Saccharomyces cerevisiae S288C: one gene and its partners. The protein of the gene in region 1 purifies or fractionates together with the protein of each later gene. This does not show direct contact. Each region holds a gene or a part of one and is shown on either strand. Other genes may lie near its edges.

Evidence for each region.
Region 2: the proteins of NSA2 (region 1) and TIF6 purify together in Saccharomyces cerevisiae (affinity purification with mass spectrometry; 6 studies listed by BioGRID, with this or other methods). This does not show direct contact.
Region 3: the proteins of NSA2 (region 1) and RLP24 purify together in Saccharomyces cerevisiae (affinity purification with mass spectrometry; 5 studies listed by BioGRID, with this or other methods). This does not show direct contact.

Annotation. Positions count from the first base shown.
Region 1 is NC_001137.3:412,886-416,331, forward strand, and holds NSA2 (rRNA-processing protein NSA2), read right to left. Parts: upstream 1,295-3,446; coding exon 509-1,294; downstream 1-508. Other genes in the region: small subunit rRNA maturation protein LCP5, read left to right, coding at 1,596-2,669; VFA1 (Vfa1p), read left to right, coding at 2,974-3,446. UniProt on the Saccharomyces cerevisiae protein: Involved in the biogenesis of the 60S ribosomal subunit. May play a part in the quality control of pre-60S particles. Under normal, rapid growth conditions, high levels of NSA2 would allow the progression of pre-60S particles through the ITS2 processing.
Region 2 is NC_001148.4:591,672-594,811, reverse strand, and holds TIF6 (translation initiation factor 6), read left to right. Parts: upstream 1-1,742; coding exon 1,743-2,480; downstream 2,481-3,140. Other genes in the region: RLF2 (Rlf2p), read right to left, coding at 1-336; guanine nucleotide exchange factor DSS4, read left to right, coding at 895-1,326. UniProt on the Saccharomyces cerevisiae protein: Binds to the 60S ribosomal subunit and prevents its association with the 40S ribosomal subunit to form the 80S initiation complex in the cytoplasm. Is also involved in ribosome biogenesis.
Region 3 is NC_001144.5:164,537-167,796, reverse strand, and holds RLP24 (ATPase-activating ribosome biosynthesis protein), read right to left. Parts: upstream 1,261-3,260; coding exon 661-1,260; downstream 1-660. Other genes in the region: TEN1 (Ten1p), read left to right, coding at 1-477; PAM18 (Pam18p), read left to right, coding at 1,714-2,220; Smc5-Smc6 complex subunit NSE1, read right to left, coding at 2,395-3,260. UniProt on the Saccharomyces cerevisiae protein: Involved in the biogenesis of the 60S ribosomal subunit. Ensures the docking of NOG1 to pre-60S ribosomal particles. Activates and recruits ATPase AFG2 to cytoplasmic pre-60S ribosomal particles.

The DNA of each region.
Region 1 (3,446 bases):
CTTTTCAAAAGGAGCATGATACCAATAATTTATATTGCCTTACGCCTCTTATTTTTTATATCCTCTTTTTAGATTTTATTAATTTTTTTTTTTATTTATATACATATAATGTGCCCTGCTTTTTACAACCATACGTTTTTTGTTTTTTAATTTTCTTGCATTTTAAAACTGAATAGTGACCTGGGTATTATACTACAGTTGAAATTGCTCTCGTGAGGTACATACTTGAAACGAGCGTACTAGGCAATCCCTCTCTTGCCAGTCACCTACACACGGAGAGTATCGGTTATTTGTCGTGAGGAAAAAAGAACCGGATAATAAATTCTTGATTTGTTATATTGTACAGAGAATGACGAGAAGTAAAAAGAGAAACCCGAACAGGACAGAGCGTACATTTTTTATATACCTGTTCTTTTGTGCTTGTAGACGTATATCGTATTATTAAATTAAAAGTAAACCTAATTTGAACCATCGAGATAAAAAAAAAAAAAACGGAGCACTTTTTTGCTCATACAAGCAAAACCGCATTGACACAGCCGTCTCTGTCTGGTTCGTTTGTGACCTGAGCATACTTACCCCAGACAACTTTACCACCAGCAGTAACCATCCCCAATTCCGAAACGTTAACTTCAATAATGGTACCTTTAGTCAAAACACCTAACTGAGTGTACATTGGAGATTGTGGATTCTTCTTAACTGCCAAAATTGGCAAGAAGACAGTTACACCTAATTCCGGATGAGTGACGTTTGCCTTTTTCTGTCTCAACGCACTTGGTCTGATGATTCTTTCCATTTTAACTGGTCTTCTAGTGAAACCTTCACCCACAAAAGTGTGTTTCGTTATCATTCTCTTCCATGACTTGGATCTAGATTTACCTGTTTTAATAACTTTGAACATTTCTTCTTCACTTATACCACGAACCTTTGGTAACGGAACTGAAAACTTATCAGCTTTTTCCAACCTCTTTTGTTTGATCGATGAAGAAATAGCTTTGGCTGTGTTATTTTGTTCTCTGTCCAATAGATATGTCGGCAAAGCATCACCATCGGTATCCAATGGTTTGGATGAACCCTTGACCTTAGATTGTTCATGTGCCTTAATCTTCTTTCTCATTGATACCTTTTCAGCATATCTCTTCTTAGCAAATTGCTTACCCTTCCAACCAGTCAACTTCTGGGCCCGTTCAGAAATCTTATGAGACTCTCTTGCCTCTCTCTTACGTTTCCTTTCTTCGTGATCTAATCTTTTACCATGCTGTTTGATGTGACGCTCGATATAATCGTTTTGAGGCATTGTTTCGTTGTATATATCAGTATTGATACGAGACTGACTACTGACTAAAGATAAAAACGCCAGATACGAAAACCAAGTTCTTCTCTAACTGATACCTAATCCATTCAATTGTCTTAAAAGTGCATCTCATCGCTGTCCGGAAAATTTTTCATCGGATTGTTACTAGAACCGTTGCCGACGACATAAAATTTTTTACGCCTTTCCTGCAAGGTTGAAGAAAAGAAACCGATGAGCTATACCATTCTAAAGTGTCAAAAGAGATGAAGAAATTAAAATTGTCAACTAACACACAAATCCAAGAATGTCTGAACTTAATGCATTATTAAAAGATATCAACGGCTCGCTCACTGCGACATCAGAATCCTTGGAGAGGTTGTCTGGGATTTATAGTAATTCTGCGACCGATGAGATTCCTGAAAGTAACCAACTACATGAGCATCTATTTTACGACGCTAAGAAGCCTGCTGAGAAAGTATCGCTGCTATCCTTAAAAAATGGGAGCATGCTAGGGTACATAAATTCTCTATTGATGCTTATAGGCAATAGGCTAGACGACGAGTGCAAAGATCCTTCTGCTATGGATGCACGTGAACGCTCTATTCAACACCGTGTGGTATTAGAGCGTGGTGTTAAACCACTAGAAAAAAAGTTGGCTTACCAATTGGACAAGCTGACTAGAGCATATGTGAAAATGGAAAAGGAATATAAAGACGCTGAGAAGCGTGCACTGGAAAAATCTACCTTAGTGAATCATAGCGGCAACGACGATAGCGAAGATGATGAGTCTAGTGAGGATGAAATAGCATACAGGCCAAATACCTCTGGAATTATCAACACAAATAAAAAATCATCAGCATACAGGGTGGAGGAAACGGCTAAGCAAGAAAACGGGGAAGAAAACGATGACAATGAGACTGGCGTGTATAAACCACCAAAGATTACGGCTGTTCTACCACCGCAACAAACGCATTTTGAAGATAGATTCGATGCCAGAGAACACAAAGATCGTAGTAACAAATCGCGTATGCAAGCCATGGAAGAATATATTAGAGAGTCATCGGACCAACCGGACTGGAGTGCATCTATTGGTGCTGACATTGTGAACCATGGAAGAGGCGGTATCAAATCTTTGAGAGACACAGAGAAGGAACGTAGAGTCACTTCATTCGAAGAAGATAATTTTACCAGATTGAATATTACAAATAAAGCTGAAAAAAGGAAGCAAAAGCAACGAGAAAGAAATGCAAGGATGAACGTTATCGGTGGTGAAGATTTTGGTATATTCAGCTCAAAGAGGAAGCTGGAAGATAGCACTTCGAGACGTGGGGCCAAGAAGACTCGTTCTGCCTGGGATAGAGCTCAAAGGAGACTGTAGATACAAAAAGTTTATTTTCTTATATCCTAAAGCGTTTATAGACTTAATATTTAAAAGTTAAATATAAATGAAGGGCACTGGTATATAAGCTATTAAAAACAAGAATTTTGGCTTTCACGACATTAACGTGTGAGAGGTTTAGGCACCATTGCCTTTATGATTATTAGTCCCTCCAGAATAAACTCTACCTTTTTTTTTCTTTTTTTTTTTTATAGTCCTAAGCAGAACATGACTAAATCGCCATAAATTAACAATATAGTGGGAATAAGGCACACCAGAAGTGCCACGATATAGTATATATACAATGATAAATGAGTACGTTGCCAGAAAGGTCGCTCTAAAGGACATGCAACCATGTGCGATCTGTAGCAAACCATCCACTACCGTCCTTTACAACGCATCTGGTCCAGATTGGCTATATACATGCGAAATACATTTACAAGATAATCCACAATTTGTCATTCCCCTCTATAGTACAGAGTATAATGAAGCCGTGGCTCAATTAAAACTAGTAAAGGGGAAAATGGATAGTCTGACATCAGCTCAAACCCAATTAGGGTCCTGGGATGGTTGGGTTACTAAAATATTCTCCAAGAAAGAAAAGGAGACAAATAACTCTAAAGACCCTGATCCAACTACAACCGACTCTACTGATACATCTCCACAGGCTAAGAACGATGCAGAAATCTTGTCAGAAACAAAGAAACAGTACAGCAAAATACTTGACAAAGTTACAGAACTGCAAAGGAAAAACAGAAAATACGAACTAGCAAAAAT
Region 2 (3,140 bases), on another chromosome or scaffold:
TCCATTGGGTACTTGTTTGTTGGTGTTTCTATCGTATTTTGTACTTTGTATGGGTGAATTTTTGTAGCATAAAAGCTTGTCTTCAGCATTGGCCTTCTTAGGTGTCGTTTTCATTTCATCTGCACACTCTTTATTGATGCTTTTCATGGTTTCTTGTTTAACAGTTTCTATCATAGGTCCACTGACATCCTCTTTAGGATCATCTAGAGTGATGACATCCTTCTCTTTCGTGAGAAACTTATTACTCTTTACCGTAGTTGTATTCTGGAAAAAAGATAGTATGCCTTTTTTCTTAGTGTCGTCCTGTAGAGGAATTGATTTGAGATGTTGCTCCATTTTCCCTTTTCCTTTCGATTCTCTTCTGTCTTGAGGTTCACTAAAACATATAATTCTCTGTAACAGCAATAACAGAATGTTCTTCTCCTCAACGAATTGGCTGGAAAAATGATGTATTTCAAGAAGTGGAACCAATAAGAATTTTATTTTTTAGTCAGTTCGCAAACCTTTTGGTTTAACGATGTAGATCTTTCTTTTTTTCAGTTGAAGCCTTTCACGCGTCCGAACGCGTGAGCATATATGCAAGCCGTCTGACACTATAGATCGCGCCAGGTAGGGAACCACTTGATCCAGCACGATGAGCCCGACAACTCAAAACTCCCTTCTTCTGTATCAAAATACTTTTCAGCATATCCATATCATTCTTCCTTTCTCTTCGTAAAGGCTGACTGGGCGCCGGGGACCCGCTAGTTTAGTAGTACTGTGAATATCGTCATTGTCGTACTGAACGATTATATATCGATCATTTTAATTAATGAAGTACATATCAAAAACTTGACTGGTATGAGTAGAAAGTTCAATTAAAAGGGCTGGAAAAATGGGGGAATAACAGAGAACATGAGCAAGGCTACGTGTTCCTTTGAGGGCTGTCATAGTGCAGTTATTACCATCAACGATGATAACATAATAAACTTACCAGAGCAGGTGCACAGCGAATTCAAGTTGCTGGAAAACAGAACTATGCGAGATGCTACCCCCAGCGAGAGCAACTTCTTGGTCGTCCCTGATGTTTGGGACTTTGATAATGTTGGTGTATCTAGAGAAATTCCTTCTTCTATATTAGGGGATTTGAGTGATAAGAGTGATTTTGTCTTTGAGTATGGTAATTCCAGCTGGAAGATTAAAAAGTGCTTGAAATATTTGATATGCGCTGATTGTGATAAAGGTCCTATTGGAATAATATGTAAGGTGCAAGATCAGACAAAGAATGAAGAAAGAGTTTTGCATCTACTAAGCTTGCGAAGCCTTCAAATTATGGGAAGGAATTAGTTTGGTAGGCACTAGAACAAAAATAGGTTGCCGCCACCAGAAAAAAAAAAGAGTAACCAACCACCTATTTCACTGGCATGGGCCACCTATAACAAGCTATAGAAGTAGTTCTGGTTTACATTACTAGCATCACTTTATGTAATAATATAGGCATTCTGGACGAAATCCTAATGGATGAGCATTACCCGTTTTTTCCGAGGGCCAAACGAAAATTTTCGGAAAATTTTTATTAATTAAAGATTTAAACCCATATTCCTTTGTGCAGATTTTTTCTTTTACTGTATGTAACGCAATATTCAATATTGCATAATTAAAAGAAGCCTCATCCCTCGTTGGTCTTATAGTATAATTACAAGAAGCAATACGACAGAGTATTTGGAACAAGAGCATAATTCAACTAACTCTAGAAAACAATAATGGCTACCAGGACTCAATTTGAAAACTCCAATGAAATCGGTGTATTCTCCAAATTAACGAATACTTACTGTTTGGTTGCTGTTGGTGGTTCTGAAAACTTTTACTCTGCATTTGAAGCTGAATTAGGAGATGCTATTCCCATCGTTCATACCACTATTGCTGGTACGCGTATCATCGGTAGAATGACCGCGGGTAACCGTAGAGGTCTGCTAGTTCCAACCCAAACTACTGATCAAGAATTACAACATTTAAGAAATAGTTTGCCGGATTCCGTTAAGATTCAAAGGGTAGAGGAAAGACTATCTGCCTTGGGTAACGTCATCTGTTGTAATGATTACGTTGCTTTAGTGCATCCAGATATCGACAGAGAAACTGAAGAATTGATAAGTGATGTACTAGGCGTTGAGGTCTTCCGTCAAACCATATCAGGTAATATCTTAGTTGGGTCATATTGTTCTTTAAGTAATCAAGGTGGGTTAGTGCATCCACAAACAAGTGTCCAAGATCAAGAAGAATTGTCCTCCTTATTACAAGTTCCTTTGGTGGCTGGTACCGTTAACCGTGGTAGTTCAGTTGTCGGTGCCGGTATGGTTGTGAACGATTACTTGGCAGTTACAGGTCTGGATACTACAGCCCCAGAATTGAGTGTTATTGAAAGTATTTTCCGCTTGCAAGATGCCCAACCAGAATCCATTTCAGGTAACCTACGTGATACTTTGATTGAAACCTACTCATAGATGTCAGGTACTCCTGAGGGGATTCCCCTCCTTCCTCAAGTCTGTTTACAGTTGTATGCGAAAGAGTCCCCATGTTGCAATAATCTTCTTACGTATCATTTGTGGTATTTTTTTTGGTATAACAAATATTTTTTCTTAGGTTTCTATGCATTTTAATTTTAGTTGTATGTATATTATGTACTCTTTTATTTTTTTTTTTTTTCTTATACCTATGGGTGACTATTCATTGCAGTTTAAGTAGGCGTCTTAATTGTAACATGTAGTCACTTTGTTCGAAGCATATGTAACGGGTTTCTAAGCAAATTCTTTGCATAATATGGATTTTCCGTCCGCTTCTCCGACTATTCTGACAACTTGCTCAGTTCCAAGTATCTGTTAGACAATATAGAACTTCTCCAAGAAAAATTGCACCGCACGTAGACCATTTGAAGGCTTTTTTGTCTAGCTGCTAGGACATACTATTGTCTCCACCAGAACCCGGAGAGTAGTATCTCTTGGCAAAGATTAATAAAATCGAACAAAGCTAATAGAACACCGGGGGTTGTGCGGTAAGATTTTCACAAGCGGTACAGAAGTGAGCCGTAAAATTATATATATATATATATATATATGGTGTACAACAAGTCAGCCGTCCATTTATGTGCTATCAAGCGAACTACG
Region 3 (3,260 bases), on another chromosome or scaffold:
CAGTTAGTTCTAGACTTAAAATGTTTGAAGGATAAAATAGCAACGAATTACGATATTCATAACAATGTTTACGGTGGAAACGGAATGGAACCAAACATTATTCATCCGTCCAAAAGATTCAGGATTGTTGTTCGATTAGTAGATTTCTTGTTCTGTAAATCGGATGAAGAATTCATTAAAGGTTTTTTCTGTCAAATGATAGTTAGAAATCTTCATTGCCTCAATTCAACAAATGGCGCAGAGGAGATGCGTTTGTATATGAGCGAAAGATTATTTTCAGCCCATAAAGATGATTTGAGATTGATAAATGGGCAGGTACTGGATGTTCGCATTGGGGTATGGTATGGAATACACCAAAGTCCGCCAATTTTTGAAATCATTGATTTTAAGATACTATCCAGGAATGACGTTCGTGATTTCTGTGAATTTGTCAAATCACCACTTGGTGAGAAGTTTCTGAACATCTCTAACTCCTAAGTCAGACGTTTGGCATATACTGAGATTATATAATACCTTTGATAAGAATGTAAGAGGACCCTTGAAAATAGTTATTGTAATGTTATGTAATGTAAATAATAGTATACAGGTGATTCTTATTTATCCCATGAAATAAGTATGAGAAAAGAAAGGAAAGAGGCAATTAGCCCGGTTCTGTTCTAACTAAAAAGCAATTTTCTTTGTATTTCTTCTTCTGTTCTTTAGCAGAATCTTTTGCTTTTCCAATTGTTCTTCCTCTTCCTCGTCACTGTCGATTTCCATATCCTCCTCTTCTTCTTCAGATTCCTCTTGTTCGGATACTGATTCAGCTCTTTCTTGTTCTTTAGCCAACTTTCTGGCAATTTCAACTTCTCTGATTCTCAATAATTCTGGGTTAGATTCGACCAATTTCTTATCTCTTAAGAAGTCCTTTTCTTTGTTACCTCTCATTCTATTCTTGTAGAAGGCTCTTTCACGTTTTTGTCTAATTTCTTCGATTCTAGCCATAGCCTTCAAAGTTGTGGCAACTAACTCTCTATTGTATCTAACAGGGACATTTCTTCTTTGGGCAAAAGTCAAGGTAGAATCCACAGCCAATTCTTTTCCGGCAGCCTTTCTGAAAGCTTTGGTCCATTTTAGTTTTCTTGGGTTACGACGTTGCTTGAATGCCTTGTGACACTTAGAACGGCAGAACCTAAACTCTTTAGCATCGTTACGCACAAACATGATCCCATGACCTGGATAACATGGGGATGAGCAAAAATGGCATTGATAAATTCTCATTTTTTTATACTTACTAAACTTCTACTTCCTTTTCCTTTTAGTTTCTGAATGTAAATCACGGGGAGGTGGTGGTAACAATATGGACAACTCACGCTTGAATAGCAATATCTTTCAAATCACAAGTCGAAGAACTTAAAAGTGGTATATCACGGATCAAGATAGAAACTGATGTAAGTTGGAGATAGGGTGGGATGAGATGAGATGAGTTTAGAAATACATTATTTAATAAAAGACGAGTGAAAATTTTTCACTCCGCTGAGTTCGAGGCGAGCGGGCAAAAAATTTAAAGAGCGAGAATCGGACCAAATGTGAAAGCCATTTGAATCAACGTAGGACTCACTCGACGGAGACCCTTGAACTAGACAAAGTACGAATAGTAGTGGAATTTGTACGTCTCCACTGGCCGAGCACAGTTTAATAAGGTTGCATAAACACTTCCACCCGCACAATATCATGAGTTCTCAAAGTAATACTGGTAATTCTATTGAGGCACCACAACTACCCATTCCTGGTCAAACTAATGGCTCTGCGAACGTTACTGTTGATGGAGCTGGTGTTAATGTCGGTATCCAGAATGGTTCGCAGGGTCAAAAGACCGGAATGGACCTTTATTTTGATCAAGCTTTGAACTACATGGGAGAACATCCTGTGATAACAGGTTTTGGGGCCTTTTTAACTTTATATTTTACAGCCGGTGCATATAAATCAATATCGAAGGGACTTAACGGTGGAAAATCCACTACTGCCTTCTTGAAAGGCGGATTTGACCCGAAAATGAATTCTAAAGAGGCTCTACAGATTTTGAATTTGACAGAAAATACATTGACTAAAAAAAAGTTGAAAGAGGTTCATAGGAAAATTATGTTAGCTAATCATCCTGACAAAGGTGGTTCTCCATTTTTGGCCACTAAGATAAACGAAGCTAAGGACTTTTTGGAAAAAAGGGGTATTAGCAAATAAGGTAAAACGGGAACCTAAAATGAGTTATTGCAATTGCATATATGCCTAATACAAGTGGTATAAACCTCGAACCGTGTTCAATCACATGCCGTTTAGGAGATTAAAATACTTCGGGCAATCAAATGTTTGTATAGATAAGTCTTGTAAATAACACGGAAAGCTATGTATTTTAGTTTAAATAACGTATACGCCCTCTGTGATTAGCGATGAACCGCAACGATCACAATTCTTGCTTACATGGGTAATATAATGCTTGAAACAATCAACATGCCAAATTTGAGACAGACTATTCTCTCCAGTTTCCTCATTCTCTTCTCGGCATGATTCGTTGCCGCACCTGACACCTTGAATTGCCAGCTTGTGGCAATTTTGGCAAGTGTTCAAATTGTACATGGATGTTAGATACTCTTCTAGTTCTGCTATACAGCGAAGATCAATACCGAATTTCCCTTCCTGAGTCCTGTAAAACCATTTCAGTTCGCATAATCGGAGTAGTAAGTCTTCGATGTCCGTTGCTGTTAATTCTTGAAATTGGAAAAGATTGGTGGACCCTACAGTAAACGTACTGAACTTACGCCATTTCGCGAGGTTTGAGTCTCCTGTAGCTGCTACTAGAATACGGTTGACTTCCTTCACAATTATCGAGGTTTCCAGTGCAGGCCCTTCAACGATAGTCTCTCCACTGATCATGAATTGTTCTATGGCCCATTTCATAAACTCGATCTCGTTTTGGTTAAACCTTGTGGCTAACTTAGTCTCTTCTGTTGATGCTAAGTTAACATATACGAAAAACCTGTTACTCTCCGGAAGTACTATCGATTGCAAAACTGCATAATCATTATTGTGAGCCCTTATTGCTGTATTATCTTCGAAGGACTCAAAATTCTGCTTGGCCTTTAAAGTCACTGCGTTTCTACCAATCCCGTGGTTGATCCGAATGATCTTGTAACCCAAAAGGTTCAGTTTTACGTTTATAGCGTTTATATAATCATTTAGCTTGTCGACCCACTGCTGGATCGACCATTCAGTGTTAAGCGTTG